Saccharomyces cerevisiae S288C: one gene and its partners. The main gene of each other region encodes a partner of the protein of the gene in region 2 in a complex. Each region holds a gene or a part of one and is shown on either strand. Other genes may lie near its edges. A codon is read from its position in the direction of its gene.

Region 1 (3,400 bases), on a different chromosome or scaffold from region 2:
TGGAGTGTTGCCAGAGCTGGTCAAAGAGGTTACCATTCCAGAACCTCCATTAACCACAAGATTTACAGAGTCGGTAAGGGTGATGATGAAGCTAACGGTGCTACCAGCTTCGACAGAACCAAGAAGACTATTACCCCAATGGGTGGTTTCGTCCACTACGGTGAAATTAAGAACGACTTCATCATGGTTAAAGGTTGTATCCCAGGTAACAGAAAGAGAATTGTTACTTTGAGAAAGTCTTTGTACACCAACACTTCTAGAAAGGCTTTGGAAGAAGTCAGCTTGAAGTGGATTGACACTGCTTCTAAGTTCGGTAAGGGTAGATTCCAAACCCCAGCTGAAAAGCATGCTTTCATGGGTACTTTGAAGAAGGACTTGTAAGAAGTTTTGTTAGAAAATAAATCATTTTTTAATTGAGCATTCTTATTCCTATTTTATTTAAATAGTTTTATGTATTGTTAGCTACATACAACAGTTTAAATCAAATTTTCTTTTTCCCAAGTCCAAAATGGAGGTTTATTTTGATGACCCGCATGCGATTATGTTTTGAAAGTATAAGACTACATACATGTACATATATTTAAACATGTAAACCCGTCCATTATATTGCTTACTTTCTTCTTTTTTGCCGTTTTGACTTGGACCTCTGGTTTGCTATTTCCTTACAATCTTTGCTACAATACCATTTGCCCTTGGGAGCTTGTTTCAGGCCTACGCAACCATAATGGAACCACTCGAAGGGACAAGCCGGATTATCACAAGCCACCATTGGCCCATAAGATACATTCCTACAGAAACAATAAACCTCCTCTTGATTATTATTACCCTCTGTTACATCACCCTGGTTAATCCCAATTGTGGGGCTAGTTATGCTCTCTTTTCTTTCCCTCGATTTAGCCTTTTTCAAGTTAATCTTTAAAAGCAGTTTTGGCTCCTTATATGCTCCTGGTTCTTCTAACGTCAACTTCGACTTGATATTCTCTAGCGAAGAGTTGAAATTTTTTGTCACTGACTTCTGTATCTCTAGTTCCTTCTTATGCTGCTTTAAGAAATGAATCTGATCATCGACCAGATCATTAATATAAGTCGCTACCAGCAACAGATCCCTACAGGCCCTTTCCATACCAGGCTCATCCTCTTCATTCTTGAATAAGTCGATTGTTTGCATCAGTCGAAGAGATCTTATTAGTTCACATGGTAAATGATCCAAAGTGCTAAGGAAACTGTACCTGATATCCGAATCCGAGTTTTCGTTGGCGAGATGTTCCATTGCTGTAGACGAAAAAAACTTCCTTGTAAAGCGGATGTGCTAGCGCATCATACATTTCAGTTCTATTAAGACTTTCACAGATGCTGTTGTGATGTTCTGTGAGCCAATCCCAAATGTTTGTATAAGGACGGAAATAAGACGGAGCGCCACGTGACTGAAGATTTTTTTTTTCTCGGATTTCTTGGTAATGGGCGGCCGGTATTTCCGGCGGCCAAAAAATGCGAGGATTTGGTTGGTGGAGAGGGTCGAGCGCCTTTACCCTGCGTAGATACTAAGGGGGCTCTTTCTAGTATATAAACAATTTGAATAATAACGAGGTTAGACGTCCAACTGGATCCATAGACTATCTAAGCTTTTAGTAGAGGCCATTCGTTTTCTTATTAATCATCGGTTTCACAATCTTTCTTTGTTAAGCAACATTTTATACATTTTTGTACTTTATCTTCAAATATTAAGGACAAGAAAGAAAAAGAAAAAGAATCCATATTCTATATTAGTGTAACACTATTTTTCTTAAATATTTTTTCCAGTACTCCCCCAGTTTGATAAAAAGCATTCATTGAATTTCCCCACATTTGTGATATCTTCAATTGATTAGTTTGAACTAGTTCTGAAAAATAATATTTTACAATTTGCATTTTCATTACACTATATCATCTACTATTTTTTCTCAGAAGCGGAAGTTATAACTAATTTGACAATGTTTTCAAATCTATCTAAACGTTGGGCTCAAAGGACCCTCTCGAAAAGTTTCTACTCTACCGCAACAGGTGCTGCTAGTAAATCTGGCAAGCTTACTCAAAAGCTCGTTACAGCGGGTGTTGCTGCCGCCGGTATCACCGCATCGACTTTACTCTATGCAGACTCCTTAACTGCCGAAGCTATGACCGCAGCTGAACACGGATTGCACGCCCCAGCATATGCTTGGTCCCACAATGGGCCTTTTGAAACATTTGATCATGCATCCATTAGAAGAGGTTACCAGGTTTACCGTGAAGTTTGTGCCGCCTGCCATTCTCTTGACAGAGTTGCTTGGAGAACTTTGGTTGGTGTTTCTCATACCAACGAAGAGGTTCGTAATATGGCCGAAGAATTTGAATACGATGACGAACCTGATGAACAAGGTAACCCTAAAAAGAGACCAGGTAAGTTGTCCGATTACATCCCTGGCCCATACCCAAACGAACAGGCTGCAAGAGCTGCCAATCAAGGTGCCTTGCCACCTGATCTATCTTTGATCGTGAAAGCTAGACACGGTGGTTGTGACTACATTTTCTCTTTGTTGACCGGTTATCCTGATGAACCTCCTGCTGGTGTGGCTTTACCACCAGGTTCTAATTATAACCCTTACTTCCCAGGTGGTTCCATTGCAATGGCAAGAGTCTTGTTTGATGACATGGTTGAGTACGAAGATGGTACCCCCGCAACGACATCTCAAATGGCAAAGGACGTTACCACCTTTTTAAACTGGTGTGCCGAACCTGAACATGACGAAAGAAAGAGATTGGGTTTGAAAACGGTGATAATCTTATCATCTTTGTATTTGCTATCTATCTGGGTGAAGAAGTTCAAATGGGCCGGTATCAAAACCAGAAAATTCGTTTTCAATCCACCAAAACCAAGAAAGTAGTTGACAAAAAAATGAAAACCACTATTATTTAAATTACGGAAAAAAAAAAACCAATAAACAAAAAACATAATAAAAGAAATGAAAAAAAAGAATATTAGTAGAGCATACTGAATTGTTTTCAGAAAGAGAGTGAAAGGTAACAAAAATTTACCTACTTTTCCTTTTTATTTCTCTGGTTTCGTTTCTTTTTTTTCGGCCACCCTATTTATTTTTTCACTGCTTGTAAACAACGTCTCACTTCAATAGTGTCTCCTTCATGTACTGAGATACTGCTGCAAGCGAAATATCACGAATAATAATATAAAAAAAAAAAAAAAAAAAAAAAAAGATGTTTAAATGTTAACAACCTAACAGCAATAAAAAATAAAAATAAAGGTAGAAGATTGCAAGAAAGAAACTTTACAATATTTTGTTTGGATGCCCAACACCGGCGTCTTGGTGTTCTTCTATAATATTTATTTTATTTATTTTTTATTTATATATGTACATATATATTCCTA
Region 2 (11,485 bases):
GTAAGGGGGGGGTCCCTCACTCCTTCGGAGCGTACTATTATTATAAATAATTATATATTATAATATAATTAAAAAGTATTATAATTGAAACGAAAATTGTAATTTTAAATGGAATAATAATTATTATATATTTAATATATTTAATAAAGTTATAATATCTCTTTCTACCGGACTATTTTATTTTATTTTATTTTATTTTTATAAAGAAAAATAGTAATAATATTATCTTCTCCTCCTTTCGGGGTTCCGGTTCCCGTGCCGGGCCCCGGAACTATTAATTATATAATATAATATAATATAATATAATATAATATGATACGGATCAAACATTACCCGTTGTTCACTGGCAATGTTTAATCCTATTGTATATAAATATAATAAAATAATTATCCCTCTCGTAATACATATATAAAATATAAAATATAAAATAAAAATATTATGATTATTATAATATATATATATATATATATAAATATATATATATAATTTATAATTTATATGATTAATATATTATATATATAAAAAATATATTAAATTTACTTTTTATAGAAAGGAGTGAGGGACCCCCCCCCCTTACGGGGGGGAACCGAACCCCGCAGGAGATATTTATTTTAATACTTATATAGTATTTATTAATAATATAATAATTGTTATTATAAATATTAATAATAATATAAAAATAGGGTAAATAATATAAATAATATGAATAAATATAAAAACATATTAAATATAAAATATATCATAAATTTAATAAATATTATAATAATTTATAAATGATAGATATCTGGGGTCCTATAAATAATAATTATTTTCAATAATTATAGGGACCCCCACCTATTATATAAATATAAATATAAATATAAATATAAATACAAATATAAATATATAAATATATAAATATAATATAAATACAAATATAATATATAAATATAAATATAAATATATAAATATAAGTCCCCGCCCCGGCGGGGACCCCGAAGGAGTGAGGGACCCCTCCCTATACTAATGGGAGGGGGACCGAACCCCGAAGGAGTATAAATAAAAATTAATAATATATATATAATTATAATAGTTCCGGGGCCCGGCCACGGGAGCCGGAACCCCGAAAGGAGAAATAATAATATAATATATAATAAAATATAACTTATTAATATAATATTAAAAATATAATTAACAAGAATAAATAGTCCGTGGGATCGAACCCCCTTTTTTATTTAATATTTAATATTTAAAGAAGGAATTGTTTATATATATTAATATCTTATTTGGGGATTAATATAATATATAAGTTTTGGATACCAGGCCAAAGACCGGAATCCCAAAAGGAGATTATATAAATATTATTTATCTCCCTTTTTTAATATTATAATAATTTTATTAAAAATAAAATAATAATAATAATTATAATTTATAATAACAATTATAATAATTTAATTAATTAATTAATTAATTAATTAATTAATTAATTAATTAATAATAAATATAAATATAAAAAGAATATAATTTATAATAAATAAATTTATATATATATATATATATTAAATAAAATATTTACTTCATTAATATAAAATATAAATATATTTAATTAATAAGTATATATATATAATAATATATAATAACCTATTTATATATATAATCTTAATATAATTATAAGAAATATTATATAAGTAATATATAAAAATAATATAAAATAATTATAATTCAATTTATATATTAATAGTTCCGGGGCCCGGCCACGGGAGCCGGAACCCCGAAAGGAGGAATAAGATAAATATATAAATTATATTAATAAATATAAATTTTAAATGAATTAATAAAATTAATATATATATGTATATATATATATATATTAAAAATATTTAATTATTTTTAGGAAGGAGTGATAGATCCCTTTGGGGGACCGAACCCCTATTTAAGAAGGAGTGCGGGACCCCGTGGGAACCGAACCCCTTTTTTATTTAAAGAAGAAGTTTTATTTTATTTTATTTTATTTTATTTTATTTTATTTTATTTTATTTTATTTTATTTTATTTAATTTAATTTTAATTAGGTTAATAAATAGTAATAATAAACTTAATAATAATAATAATAATTTTATTTTTATAATTTATTAATAATAATAATAATTATATATATATATATTATTAATAAATATAGACCTTATCGTCTAATGGTTACGACATCACCTCTTCATGTTGATAATATCGGTTCGATTCCGATTAAGGTTATTCATAATAATAAATATTTGTAAAAAAAGTATATATAATTAAACATATTCTTTATATTAATTAATAATTATTAATAATATACATTTTATATAATACAATTATATATATATATATATTTTTTTTTAATACAAATAATATATTCATAATAATAAATACCGATTGTTATTATACTATAATAAAATATATAATATATTTTTCATTATAATATTTTTAAATAAATATTATAATAAATTATATAAATAATATTTATGTATAATAATAATAATAATAATTGTTATTAATTAATTCTATAATTATTATATATTTAATTTTTTTTTTTAATATAATATATAATAATATAATTTATTTTATTTTTTTTTATAGTTCCGGGGCCCGGTCACGGGAGCCGGAACCCCGAAAGGAGAATATAAATTAATAATAATATAAATAACATATTAACAATAAATTATTGTTAATATAATAATAATAATAACAATATTAATAAATAATATAAAAATTATTAATATTATATTTATATAATATTAATATAAAAATCTTTCATAATATTAATTATTATTAAATAATAATGATATCATTAATATTAATATAATCGTCAATATTATTTATTTATTTATTTATTTATTTATTTATTTATTTATTTATTATTAAATAAATATTTTTAAATATTATATTATATTATTAACTTTTTATTAAAAAAATTAATAATGATATAATATAATTAATATTATCCACGGGACCAATGACCAACCCAGTAGTTGACCGGATTGGCGCCCGCGAGGTTTATATTTAATAAATAATAATAATAATATTAATAAAATCTATTAACTTTTTTTTTTAATGGATTATATTAATGAAAAAAAAATGAGAAATATCTTTTTTTTTTAATAATTATAATTTATATATAATAAAATATGTATATATAATAAAAAAATAGTTTTTAATATTATAATATAATTATATATATAATTATAAATATATATATATATAATAAGTATTAATTAATAATATATATTTATATATTTTTTATTAATTAATATATATAAAATATTAGTAATAAATAATATTATTAATATTTTATAAATAAATAATAATAATATGGCATTTAGAAAATCAAATGTGTATTTAAGTTTAGTGAATAGTTATATTATTGATTCACCACAACCATCATCAATTAATTATTGATGAAATATGGGTTCATTATTAGGTTTATGTTTAGTTATTCAAATTGTAACAGGTATTTTTATGGCTATGCATTATTCATCTAATATTGAATTAGCTTTTTCATCTGTTGAACATATTATAAGAGATGTGCATAATGGTTATATTTTAAGATATTTACATGCAAATGGTGCATCATTCTTTTTTATGGTAATGTTTATGCATATGGCTAAAGGTTTATATTATGGTTCATATAGATCACCAAGAGTACTATTATGAAATGTAGGTGTTATTATTTTCATTTTAACTATTGCTACAGCTTTTTTAGGTTATTGTTGTGTTTATGGACAGAGTGAGACAAGTATAAGTATATTATTATAATATCATACCATTAAATAAATTATTTTAATGAAATGATTATGTTTATATATAACATATACCTAATTAGACATGCATTATTAGTAATAATTTTGTATGAAACTCTAATAATAATAATTATTATTAATTATTAAGGTAAGATTCATATGGATAGCGTAAGTCAATCTAATATTATAAAATATCGTAACATAAACAATATTTTTTTCTATTATTAATTAATAAATAATAATAAATAAAAATAATTATATGAGAAGTAAGATATTCAATTCTGTCTAGAATACATATATATACGTTAATACTCATCGGTATAAAATTAGAATCCTAAGTGAATTATTGAAAGTATAATAATATAAACTTGGTAAGCCCAATTATTTCCATATAATATTAATATAAATATTATATGGTAGTTATATATAATATTATTAAATAAATAATAATAGAAATTATAATATAGATAAGTGGGTAAAAGACTATTGAAAAAGCTAAAGATTATATGTAATGTATAATATAGATCAAATTATTTATATATTTTAATAAAAATATATTAATAATGGTTAATATTATTATTAATTAATTAATTAATTAATTAATAATAATAACGAATAAATGATTAATGTGAAAGCATGCTAACTTCAATATAGGATGATTTATATAGTATATAAATTGTTTGAGCTGTATACTATGAAAGTAGTACGTACAGTTCTGAGTGGGGGAAAATTTGTAAAGATCTACCTATCACAATTGTCACATTGAGGTAATATAAATATCGCCTCAAATATATTTAATATAATAAAACTAATTTATATAATAATGTTAATATTATTAATTTATATTTTTTATACGATTATAATAAGACAAATAATAAAAACTAAAGAATATCTTATATTAATTAAGAGTATAGATTATATTAATAAAAATAAATATATAATTAATTTAAATATAACAAATAAGAAAGATATAAATAATAATATTGGTCCATTAAATATAAACATTTTATCAATTATTTATGGTTCAATATTAGGAGATGGTCATGCTGAAAAAAGAAAAGGTGGTAAAGGAACAAGAATTGTATTTCAACAAGAATATTGTAATATTAATTATTTATATTATTTACATAGTTTATTAGCTAATTTAGGTTATTGTAATACTAATTTACCTTTAATTAAAACTAGATTAGGTAAAAAAGGTAAAATTAGACAATATTTAAAATTTAATACATGAACTTATGATTCATTTAATATGATTTATTCAGAATGGTATATTAAAAATATATCTGGAAAAGGTAATATTAAAGTTATTCCTAAATCTTTAGACAATTATTTAACTCCTTTAGCTTTAGCTATTTGAATTATAGATGATGGATGTAAATTAGGTAAAGGTTTAAAATTCACAACTAATTGTTTTAGTTATAAAGATGTTCAATATTTACTTTATTTATTACATAATAAATATAATATTAAATCTACTATTCTTAAAGGCAATAAAGAAAATACACAATTTGTTATTTATGTATGAAAAGAATCTATACCTATTTTAACTAAAATTGTATCTCCTTATATTATTCCTAGTATAAAATATAAATTAGGTAATTATTTATAATAAAATATATAGTATTATATTAATTATTATATTATTATAATGCGATATTATTGAAAACATGTCAAAATTATATTATTAAGTAACAAGACAGTGGGTTATATAATTATATGATCCCAACAGAATACACCAATAATAGGTATTATTATAAAAAAAATAATAATATTTAATGTTTATTCGAAGAAAATTTATAATATTATTATTATAACACAAGGTTTAATAATCTATATATATATATTATATATATAACTACTGTTATTATTCCATTTACCTAATTAATATATAAATAATGAATTATAATTATTATGATTAATATTTTTATAATAATAACCCCATCATAACATTTATATATAACATTTATATATAACATTTATATATAATATTTATATTATGGTATTATTAGGTATAAATATTTATTCATAAGAGAAAATAGTGATTAAATGGAATTATAAAAAGGGTAGATATTATTAAATACAGGGTATTATTTATATTAATAAATCAATAAATATTGAGATTATTATTATTAAAAAATAATAATAATTTATAAATAATATTATTTTCTTGGCACTAGTTATTACTAATTTATTCTCAGCAATTCCATTTGTAGGTAACGATATTGTATCTTGATTATGAGGTGGGTTTAATATAGAGGATCCATATTATAGTAATATAATATTAAATAAATCTGTTTTATGCTGAAATATCTTCATTTGAATAATAAATTACTATATTATTCAATTAATTATTTATAATAATATAATTTGAAATAAAAATAATATAGTTAAAATATTTATTATAAGAAGAAAATTAGCAGTAATTAATATATATATATATATAAAATTAATTATTCAGAGACTTTATAGTTATTATATAAATAATACTATTATTTATGATAAAAATCATAAATTAAACACAGATAATCCTATTTATGCATATATTGGTGGTTTATTTGAAGGAGATGGTTGAATTACTATTTCAAAAAAAGGTAAATATTTATTATATGAATTAGGTATTGAAATACATATTAGAGATATTCAATTATTATATAAAATTAAAAATATTTTAGGTATTGGTAAAGTAACAATTAAAAAATTAAAAATAAAAGATGGTACTATTAAAGAAATATGTAAATTTAATGTAAGAAATAAAAATCATTTAAAGAATATTATTATTCCTATTTTTGATAAATATCCTATATTAACTAATAAACATTATGATTATTTATATTTTAAAGATAATTTATTAAAAGATATTAAATATTATAATGATTTATCTTATTATTTACGTCCTATTAAACCATTTAATACTCTTGAAGATATTTTAAATAAAAATTATTTTTCTTCATGATTAATTGGTTTTTTTGAAGCTGAAAGTTGTTTTAGTATTTATAAACCTATAAATAAAAAAATAAAACTTGCTAGTTTTGAAGTATCTCAAAATAATAGTATAGAAGTTATATTAGCTATTAAATCATATTTAAAAATTACTCAAAATATTTATACAGATAAATTTAATAATTCAAGAATAACACTTAAAAGTATTAATGGTATTAAAAATGTTGTAATATTTATTAATAATAACCCTATTAAATTATTAGGTTATAAAAAATTACAATATTTATTATTCTTAAAAGATTTACGTCTTATTCTTAAATATAATAATTATTTTAAAATTCCTCCTAAATATTAATCTTATATAAAAATATAATAATAATATATTTATATATTATATAATTATATAAACAAAATATAATTTATATATAATTATTTATTATAAATATAGTCCGGCCCGCCCCGCGGGGCGGACCCCGGAGGAGTGAGGGACCCCTCCCTATTCTAACGGGAGGGGGACCGAACCCCGAAGGAGTTTAATTATATATTAAATATATTATTATCAATAAATAATTCCTTTGAACTATTTATTATTTTATTATATTTATTTTCTCCTTCATTATTAATTTTTATTAATAATTAAAATCTTATCATTTTATGGTATTTTTATTTCTATTTTAGGATATCGAAACTATAAATTAAAAAGTATAATTTTATTAATTATAATTTATGATTAATAAATAAGAAATAAAAACTTTAGAAGTAATATTTATCTTTTTTTTTTATAAATAAATATTATGATTAATATATAATCATTTATAAATATTTATATATAATTATATATATACATAAATAGGATTAAGATATAGTCCGAACAATATAGTGATATATTGATAATAGTTTTCAAATATGTAACTATTTAAACATTAAAAGCTCAGTATCTAACCCTCTAATCCAGAGATTCTTTGCGTTACATTATTTAGTACCTTTTATCATTGCTGCAATGGTTATTATGCATTTAATGGCATTACATATTCATGGTTCATCTAATCCATTAGGTATTACAGGTAATTTAGATAGAATTCCAATGCATTCATACTTTATTTTTAAAGATTTAGTAACTGTTTTCTTATTTATGTTAATTTTAGCATTATTTGTATTCTATTCACCTAATACTTTAGGTCAAAATATGGCCTTATTATTAATTACATATGTAATTAATATTTTATGTGCTGTATGCTGGAAATCTTTATTTATTAAATATCAATGAAAAATTTATAATAAAACTCTATATTATTTTATTATTCAAAATATTTTAAATACAAAACAATTAAATAATTTCGTATTAAAATTTAATTGAACAAAGCAATATAATAAAATAAATATTGTAAGTGATTTATTTAATCCCAATAGAGTAAAATATTATTATAAAGAAGATAATCAGCAGGTAACCAATATAAATTCTTCTAATACTCACTTAACGAGTAATAAAAAGAATTTATTAGTAGATACTTCAGAGACTACACGCACACTAAAAAATAAATTTAATTATTTATTAAATATTTTTAATATAAAAAAAATAAATCAAATTATTCTTAAAAGACATTATAGTATTTATAAAGATAGTAATATTAGATTTAACCAATGATTGGCCGGTTTAATTGACGGAGATGGTTATTTTTGTATTACTAAAAATAAATATGCATCTTGTGAAATTCTTGTAGAATTAAAAGATGAAAAAATGTTAAGACAAATCCAAGATAAATTTGGTGGTTCTGTAAAATTAAGATCAGGTGTTAAGGCTATTAGATATAGATTACAAAATAAAGAAGGTATAATTAAATTAATTAATGCCGTTAATGGTAATATTCGTAATAGTAAAAGATTAGTACAATTTAATAAAGTATGTATTTTATTAAATATCGATTTTAAAGAACCTATTAAATTAACTAAAGATAATGCTTGATTTATAGGGTTCTTTGATGCTGATGGTACTATTAATTATTATTATTCCGGTAAATTAAAAATTAGACCTCAATTAACTATTAGCGTTACAAATAAATATTTACATGATGTTGAATACTATAGAGAAGTATTTGGTGGTAATATTTATTTTGATAAAGCTAAAAATGGTTATTTTAAATGATCTATTAATAATAAAGAATTACATAATATTTTTTATCTTTATAATAAAAGTTGTCCTTCTAAATCTAATAAAGGTAAACGTTTATTTTTAATTGATAAATTTTATTATTTATATGATTTATTAGCTTTTAAAGCACCTCATAATACTGCTTTATATAAAGCTTGATTAAAATTTAATGAAAAATGAAATAATAATTAAATTTTCTCCGTATTCATTATTATATTATCTAATTTATAAAATATTTAAAGATTCCTTATAATAATATAACATCTTTGTAAATTATTGTTAAAGATAATATAAATTATTATGAATCGGTAGATTATATTTTTACAATCTTATTAAATAAAATTCTGATCATTAAACATGATTGAAGAAATAATAATAGTTTATGAAATAAGATAGTGTAATATAAATTTTTATGAAGATATAGTCCATTTTATATTTATTATAAAAGCATCCTGATAACTATATTCCTGGTAATCCTTTAGTAACACCAGCATCTATTGATATTAAAAATATTAATAAAATTATTATTATTTAATCTTATTTATTTTATATAAAAAAAATAAATAATAATTATTAATAAAAATATATTATTTATTTCTCCTTTCGGGGTTATTTATATATATTCCTTTATAATTTATATTTAATATATTATATTAAATATATGAAAAATTATAATAAATAAATTAATTAATTAATAATAAATAATAATAAAAAGTACAGTAGCATTAAATATTCTTAAGTTTCCGCTTTGTGGGAACTCCCATAAGGAGTTTAATGATTAAAATTGGTTAATTGTCAAGAAAATCTAAGGTATTAATAAATAAATAATACTATGACAACTTGCAGCGAAGTTTATATCATCTCTATATTATATATTAATATATATATATAATAATAATAATAATATTAATATAATATAAGATATAAAAACGTTCAACGACTAGAAAGTGAACTGAGATAGTAATACCTTTCCACGAAAACCAATTAATTTATAAATTATTTTTAAATAAAGAATAGATTATTAATTTTTTTTATATAGTTCCGGGCCCCGGCCACGGGAGCCGGAACCCCGGAAGGAGTAATATATATTATATATAAAATAAAAAATATATATATATATATTATAAAATATCAAAAGTTTTAATCTTTTATTATAAATTAATGACATAGTCTGAACAATAATGAAAATTATTGAGATAAGATATTAAATAATCTTATGTTAACATATATAAATTGTGTACCTGAATGATACTTATTACCATTCTATGCTATTTTAAGATCTATTCCTGATAAATTATTAGGAGTTATTCTAATGTTTGCAGCTATTTTAGTATTATTAGTTTTACCATTTACTGATAGAAGTGTAGTAAGAGGTAATACTTTTAAAGTATTATCTAAATTCTTCTTCTTTATCTTTGTATTCAATTTCGTATTATTAGGACAAATTGGAGCATGCCATGTAGAAGTACCTTATGTCTTAATGGGACAAATCGCTACATTTATCTACTTCGCTTATTTCTTAATTATTGTACCTGTTATCTCTACTATTGAAAATGTTTTATTCTATATCGGTAGAGTTAATAAATAATATATAATTAAATTAATACATAGATATAATATATATATTATTATTATTAATAATATAATAAAAATAAAAATAAAATTATTAATAATAATAATACTTTAATAATATTCTTAAAAATAATATATCTCTAATTTATAAAAATTAAATAATAATAATAAAAAAAAAATATTATAAAATATAAATTAATTAATAATGAAAATAATATACTTATTAAATTAATATAAATAAATGAATAATATAATATAACTATATTGAATTATAATCTATCTATCTTTTTTTTTCATATAATTATAATATATATATTAATATATATAATTATTATTTTATATATTATAGTTCCGGGGCCCGGTCACGGAAGCCGGAACCCCGCAAGGAGATTTATTAATTATTATTATCATTATTATTTTTTATTTAATCTTATTTATTATAAAATAATTAATTATCATAAAGCATAATTATTATAGAATCTTATTATTTTCTTTATTTAAATTTATAAAAATATAAAGTCCCCGCCCCCTTTTTATTTTATTTAATTAAGAAGGTATTTTAAAAAAGGAGTGAGGGACCCCCTCCCGTTAGGGAGGGGGACCGAACCCCGAAGGAGTACTCATTTAATATAAATATTAAATAAAAATTATTTTATATATATTAATGATTATTAATATTGATAATATAAATTATTTTATAATTAATTATTATAAATATATAACTATTAATAATTAATTTTTAATCTAGGGGTTTCCCCCACTTACATAAACTTACGTATACTTACATATACTTATGTATACTTACATATACTTACGTATACTTATATATACTTATGTATACTTACGTATACTTACATATATGGGGGATCCCTCACTCCTCCGGCGTCCTACTCACCCTATTTATTAATCATTAATAAGAAATTATTATTAAAAAAATTATAATTTACTCAAAGTTAATTATAAATATATTTTTAAATATCTATTTTATTAATCTTTTATAAAATTTAAATTAATTGTAATTAATTAATATTATAATAATTATTCTTAGGAAGGATATTTATTTATTTTAA
Region 3 (2,986 bases), on a different chromosome or scaffold from region 2:
TCTGGTAGATTGTTGGAGTTGTGGTATTGTTTACTGTACAATGGTCATGGGACAGTATCTTTGGAAAATCGCCATTCCTGAAAAGGATTCTCTTTTTAAATCATTTCTCAGTGAAATTAAAGATGATGGACAGTTTTATCTATTTGAGGAATTAAGACATGTTAGTAGCGAACTGAATAGGTTGAGGAAAATTGCACTATATAGAACGTTCCAGGTCGACCCCACGAAGAGAATCACCATTGAACAATTACTACAAAGCTCCTGGATGAGGAAAACAAAATGCTGTGTAGTTTATAGACACTTACATACCAAGGTTAGTAAATAAAGATATACAAAACAAAAAATGCTTAAGTATTTATTATTACTGATACTGTAAGTAAATAAATAGACTGACTGAATAAATATATGGGGGTTATTTGCTCTTGTTTTATAAACAGAATATATATGTAAGTTTTTAGAAGATCAAAAGATCGATGTAATGTAGAGGCATGGAAACAATATTAAACATTAACTCTTTCCAGCTCTTCTCTACCAGCTTTGCTGTACAGAAATTCATTATACTCGTTACCGTTCTTCCACCAGTACCAATAAATTCCCGCAGGTATTAATACATATAGAAATTGAGACTTAAATCTTCTAAAACTATTGAATACAGCGTTATGGAAAATACCTTGTAATGGCTTTTGAGCATATGGAGACACAGCATATGAGGTTATACCTTTTTGCTTTGGACCACCCATGTGACCCCACCATCCCATGTAAGTTTTACCGCTTGGAGGACCCATTATCGTAGAAGTTTTTGTGTAGTGTTTTGTTGATTATTTGTATTTAACGTACGACAACTTACTCTTAATCGGACTTGCTCAAGTAAACAATGTTCGAGAGATGAGGTCGTTGCTTTTCCTATTATTATATGAATAAAATTTGGGGGGTGGCTCAAGTTTCCTTCTCGTACTACCCGTAATTTCCGATCACGCATTTCTTCATTTTCATTGGCTTAAAAAAAATCCTTGGACTAGTCACGTGGAACGGTAGATCGAGAGATACTATCTTAAAGCTTATACTATATTATATTGGAAGTATATAGTTCTTATACATGGTCCTTATCTAGTTTGAAATCTAATGTTTTATCGATTAGCGTTAGTTCTATTTGCTTCTCTTGTAAACTTTGTTCAAGAACGCAGTTAAGACATCAGCTTTGAAGCCACGAGACTCATCGACCTGAGAAATTTTGGCCTTCAAATCCTTGGCAATAGACTCTTCATATTCGTGGTATAGCTGTTCAATTTTCAAGTCATTGAAAATCTTTTTGCATTTGGCTTCTGCGACTGAGTCCTTCTTACCGTAATTTTCGTCTAAAGTCTTTCTTTGTTCTGCGGAAGCAAGTTCCAATGCCTTGTTGATTACCCAAGAACATTTGTTATCTTGGATATCTGTACCGATCTTACCGATCTGTTCTGGGGTACCGAAGCAGTCTAAGTAGTCATCTTGAATTTGGAAGTATTCACCCAATGGAATCAAGACATCTCTGGCTTGTTTCAAATCCTTTTCATCCGTGATACCGGCAACGTACATGGCCAATGCGACAGGCAAGTAGAAAGAATAGTAAGCAGTCTTGAAAGTAACTATGAAGGAGTGCTTCTTTAGGGAGAACTTACTCAAGTCGACTTTGTCTTCAGGTGCAGTGATTAAGTCCATCAATTGGCCCAATTCGGTTTGGAAGGTGACCTCATGGAACAATTCGGTGATATCTATGTAGTATTTTTCGTTTCTGAAGTGAGATTTCAAAAGCTTGTAGATAGCAGCCTCTAACATGAATGCGTCATTGATGGCAATTTCCCCAACTTCAGGAACCTTGTACCAACATGGTTGGCCTCTTCTGGTAATGGACTTGTCCATCATATCATCGGCGACCAAGAAGTAAGCCTGCAACAACTCAATGCACCAACCTAGAATGGCAACCTTTTCGTATTCTTCTTGCCCCAATTGTTCAACGGTCTTGTTGGAGAGAATAGCATACGTGTCCACAACGGACAAACCTCTATTTAGCTTACCGCCTGGAGTGTTGTAGTTCAATGAGTGGGCATACCAGTCACATGCTTCCTTAGGCATACCGTAAGCCAAAAGCGATGCGTTCAATTCCTCTACTAATTTAGGGAAAACGTTCAAGAATCTCTCTCTCCTAATTTCTTTTTCTGAAGCCATTTCTACGTAATATTTTTGAGTTTATTGTGCCTATGTCAGTCCAATACCTGTTGGTTGAGTTTTTAAAGTTAAAATGAAAACTGATAGAAGAACAATCTATCATAAAGTATTAGTTTCGACATGCGTTTATATATATTTCCTGCCGTTGCTTCCTCTATTTATCGGTCTTTTTCAACAAGGCGTTTCGTTTAGAACCGACGAGAAGAAGCTGACTTCGACTATTGAAAAAAGAATGCTCAATGATATTGCTTGTCACTTCATCAGTATTTAAAATATGTGTAGAGGACGGTGAATATACCGCTTAGAATACCTCACACTGTATATCGCAGTAATAAGGACAGTATCCGTACTTTTACAGATTTGTCACGTGATCAATATCACCTTTAACGTTTTTTTTTTTTTATTCACTGCAAACATGTGAAAAATTCCAAGAAACTATTAGAATTATTGGTAATTTGGTGGTTATTTATCAGAACGTAAGGTCACGTTGGCAGCTTTTCAAAGGGGCTTTCGAACGTGTGATAGAAAACTGCATAGTCGTGCTGTCAAACCTTTCTCCTTTCCTGGTTGTTGTTTTACGTGATCATGTCGAAGAACCAAAGTGTGAGTGCGTCGGAAGATGAAAAAGAAATACTGAATAACAACGCTGAGGGCCATAAACCTCAAAGGCTTTTTGATCAAGAGCCTGATCTCACAGAGGAAGCATTGACCAAATTTGAAAACTTGGATGACTGTATATATGCGAACAAGAGGATCGGAACATTTAAGAATAATGATTTCA

Evidence for each region.
Region 1: the proteins of COB (region 2) and CYT1 are in contact, whole or in part, in a cryo-EM structure (PDB 6T15), measured with the Saccharomyces cerevisiae proteins. Residues at the interface, in NP_009315.1 of Saccharomyces cerevisiae: Tyr28 (codon at 3,405), Phe62 (codon at 3,507), Ser63 (codon at 3,510), Glu66 (codon at 3,519), Met69, Arg70 (codon at 3,531), Asp71 (codon at 3,534), Asn74 (codon at 3,543), Tyr76 (codon at 3,549), Ile77 (codon at 3,552), Tyr80 (codon at 3,561), Asp217 (codon at 7,767), Ile219 (codon at 7,773), Ser223 (codon at 7,785), Tyr224 (codon at 7,788), Phe225 (codon at 7,791), Phe227 (codon at 7,797), Lys228 (codon at 7,800), Val231 (codon at 7,809), Phe234 (codon at 7,818), Leu235 (codon at 7,821), Met237 (codon at 7,827), Leu238 (codon at 7,830), Ala241 (codon at 7,839), Leu242 (codon at 7,842), Val244 (codon at 7,848), Phe245 (codon at 7,851), Tyr246 (codon at 7,854), Ser247 (codon at 7,857), Pro248 (codon at 7,860); in NP_014708.1 of Saccharomyces cerevisiae: Met62 (codon at 2,154), His67 (codon at 2,169), Pro81 (codon at 2,211), Arg109 (codon at 2,295), Val110 (codon at 2,298), Arg113 (codon at 2,307), Tyr154 (codon at 2,430), Ser178 (codon at 2,502), Leu179 (codon at 2,505), Lys182 (codon at 2,514), Ala183 (codon at 2,517), Arg184 (codon at 2,520), His185 (codon at 2,523), Cys258 (codon at 2,742), Ala259 (codon at 2,745), Pro261 (codon at 2,751), Glu262 (codon at 2,754), Glu265 (codon at 2,763), Arg266 (codon at 2,766), Lys267 (codon at 2,769), Leu269 (codon at 2,775), Gly270 (codon at 2,778), Leu271 (codon at 2,781), Thr273 (codon at 2,787), Val274 (codon at 2,790), Leu277 (codon at 2,799), Ser278 (codon at 2,802), Leu280 (codon at 2,808), Tyr281 (codon at 2,811), Ser284 (codon at 2,820).
Region 3: the proteins of COB (region 2) and QCR8 are in contact, whole or in part, in a crystal structure (PDB 4PD4), measured with the Saccharomyces cerevisiae proteins. Residues at the interface, in NP_009315.1 of Saccharomyces cerevisiae: Ser15 (codon at 3,366), Asp19 (codon at 3,378), Ser20 (codon at 3,381), Pro21 (codon at 3,384), Pro109 (codon at 3,648), His202 (codon at 7,722), Ile203 (codon at 7,725), His204 (codon at 7,728), Gly205 (codon at 7,731), Asn215 (codon at 7,761), Leu216 (codon at 7,764), Arg218 (codon at 7,770), Ile219 (codon at 7,773), Pro220 (codon at 7,776), Val320, Lys323, Phe324, Phe327, Ile328, Phe331, Asn332, Leu335, Gln338, Cys342, Glu345, Val346, Pro347, Tyr348, Met351, Ile354; in NP_012369.1 of Saccharomyces cerevisiae: Thr8 (codon at 764), Tyr9 (codon at 761), Met10 (codon at 758), Gly11 (codon at 755), Trp12 (codon at 752), Trp13 (codon at 749), Met16 (codon at 740), Gly17 (codon at 737), Gly18 (codon at 734), Pro19 (codon at 731), Gln21 (codon at 725), Gln55 (codon at 623), Tyr58 (codon at 614), Val59 (codon at 611), Ile61 (codon at 605), Pro62 (codon at 602), Ala63 (codon at 599), Ile65 (codon at 593), Tyr66 (codon at 590), Trp69 (codon at 581), Trp70 (codon at 578), Gly73 (codon at 569), Asn74 (codon at 566), Tyr76 (codon at 560), Asn77 (codon at 557), Leu80 (codon at 548), Tyr81 (codon at 545), Asn93 (codon at 509).

The regions. Positions count from the first base shown.
Region 1 is NC_001147.6:445,469-448,868, forward strand, and holds CYT1 (ubiquinol--cytochrome-c reductase catalytic subunit CYT1), read left to right. Parts: upstream 1-1,970; coding exon 1,971-2,900; downstream 2,901-3,400. Other genes in the region: 60S ribosomal protein uL3 RPL3, read left to right, coding at 1-381; YNG1 (Yng1p), read right to left, coding at 611-1,270. UniProt on the Saccharomyces cerevisiae protein: Component of the ubiquinol-cytochrome c oxidoreductase, a multisubunit transmembrane complex that is part of the mitochondrial electron transport chain which drives oxidative phosphorylation.
Region 2 is NC_001224.1:33,217-44,701, forward strand, and holds COB (cytochrome b), read left to right. Parts: upstream 1-3,323; coding exon 3,324-3,738; intron 3,739-4,506; coding exon 4,507-4,520; coding exon of another isoform or gene 4,521-5,363; intron 5,364-5,924; coding exon 5,925-6,001; coding exon of another isoform or gene 6,002-7,049; intron 7,050-7,624; coding exon 7,625-7,874; coding exon of another isoform or gene 7,875-9,035; intron 9,036-9,291; coding exon 9,292-9,342; intron 9,343-10,080; coding exon 10,081-10,431; downstream 10,432-11,485. Other genes in the region: intron-encoded RNA maturase bI4, read left to right, coding at 3,324-3,738, 4,507-4,520, 5,925-6,001, 7,625-9,035; cytochrome b mRNA maturase bI3, read left to right, coding at 3,324-3,738, 4,507-4,520, 5,925-7,049; cytochrome b mRNA maturase bI2, read left to right, coding at 3,324-3,738, 4,507-5,363. UniProt on the Saccharomyces cerevisiae protein: Component of the ubiquinol-cytochrome c oxidoreductase, a multisubunit transmembrane complex that is part of the mitochondrial electron transport chain which drives oxidative phosphorylation.
Region 3 is NC_001142.9:104,233-107,218, reverse strand, and holds QCR8 (ubiquinol--cytochrome-c reductase subunit 8), read right to left. Parts: upstream 786-2,986; coding exon 501-785; downstream 1-500. Other genes in the region: protein kinase HAL5, read left to right, coding at 1-325; ERG20 (bifunctional (2E,6E)-farnesyl diphosphate synthase/dimethylallyltranstransferase), read right to left, coding at 1,147-2,205; histone methyltransferase SET2, read left to right, coding at 2,791-2,986. UniProt on the Saccharomyces cerevisiae protein: Component of the ubiquinol-cytochrome c oxidoreductase, a multisubunit transmembrane complex that is part of the mitochondrial electron transport chain which drives oxidative phosphorylation.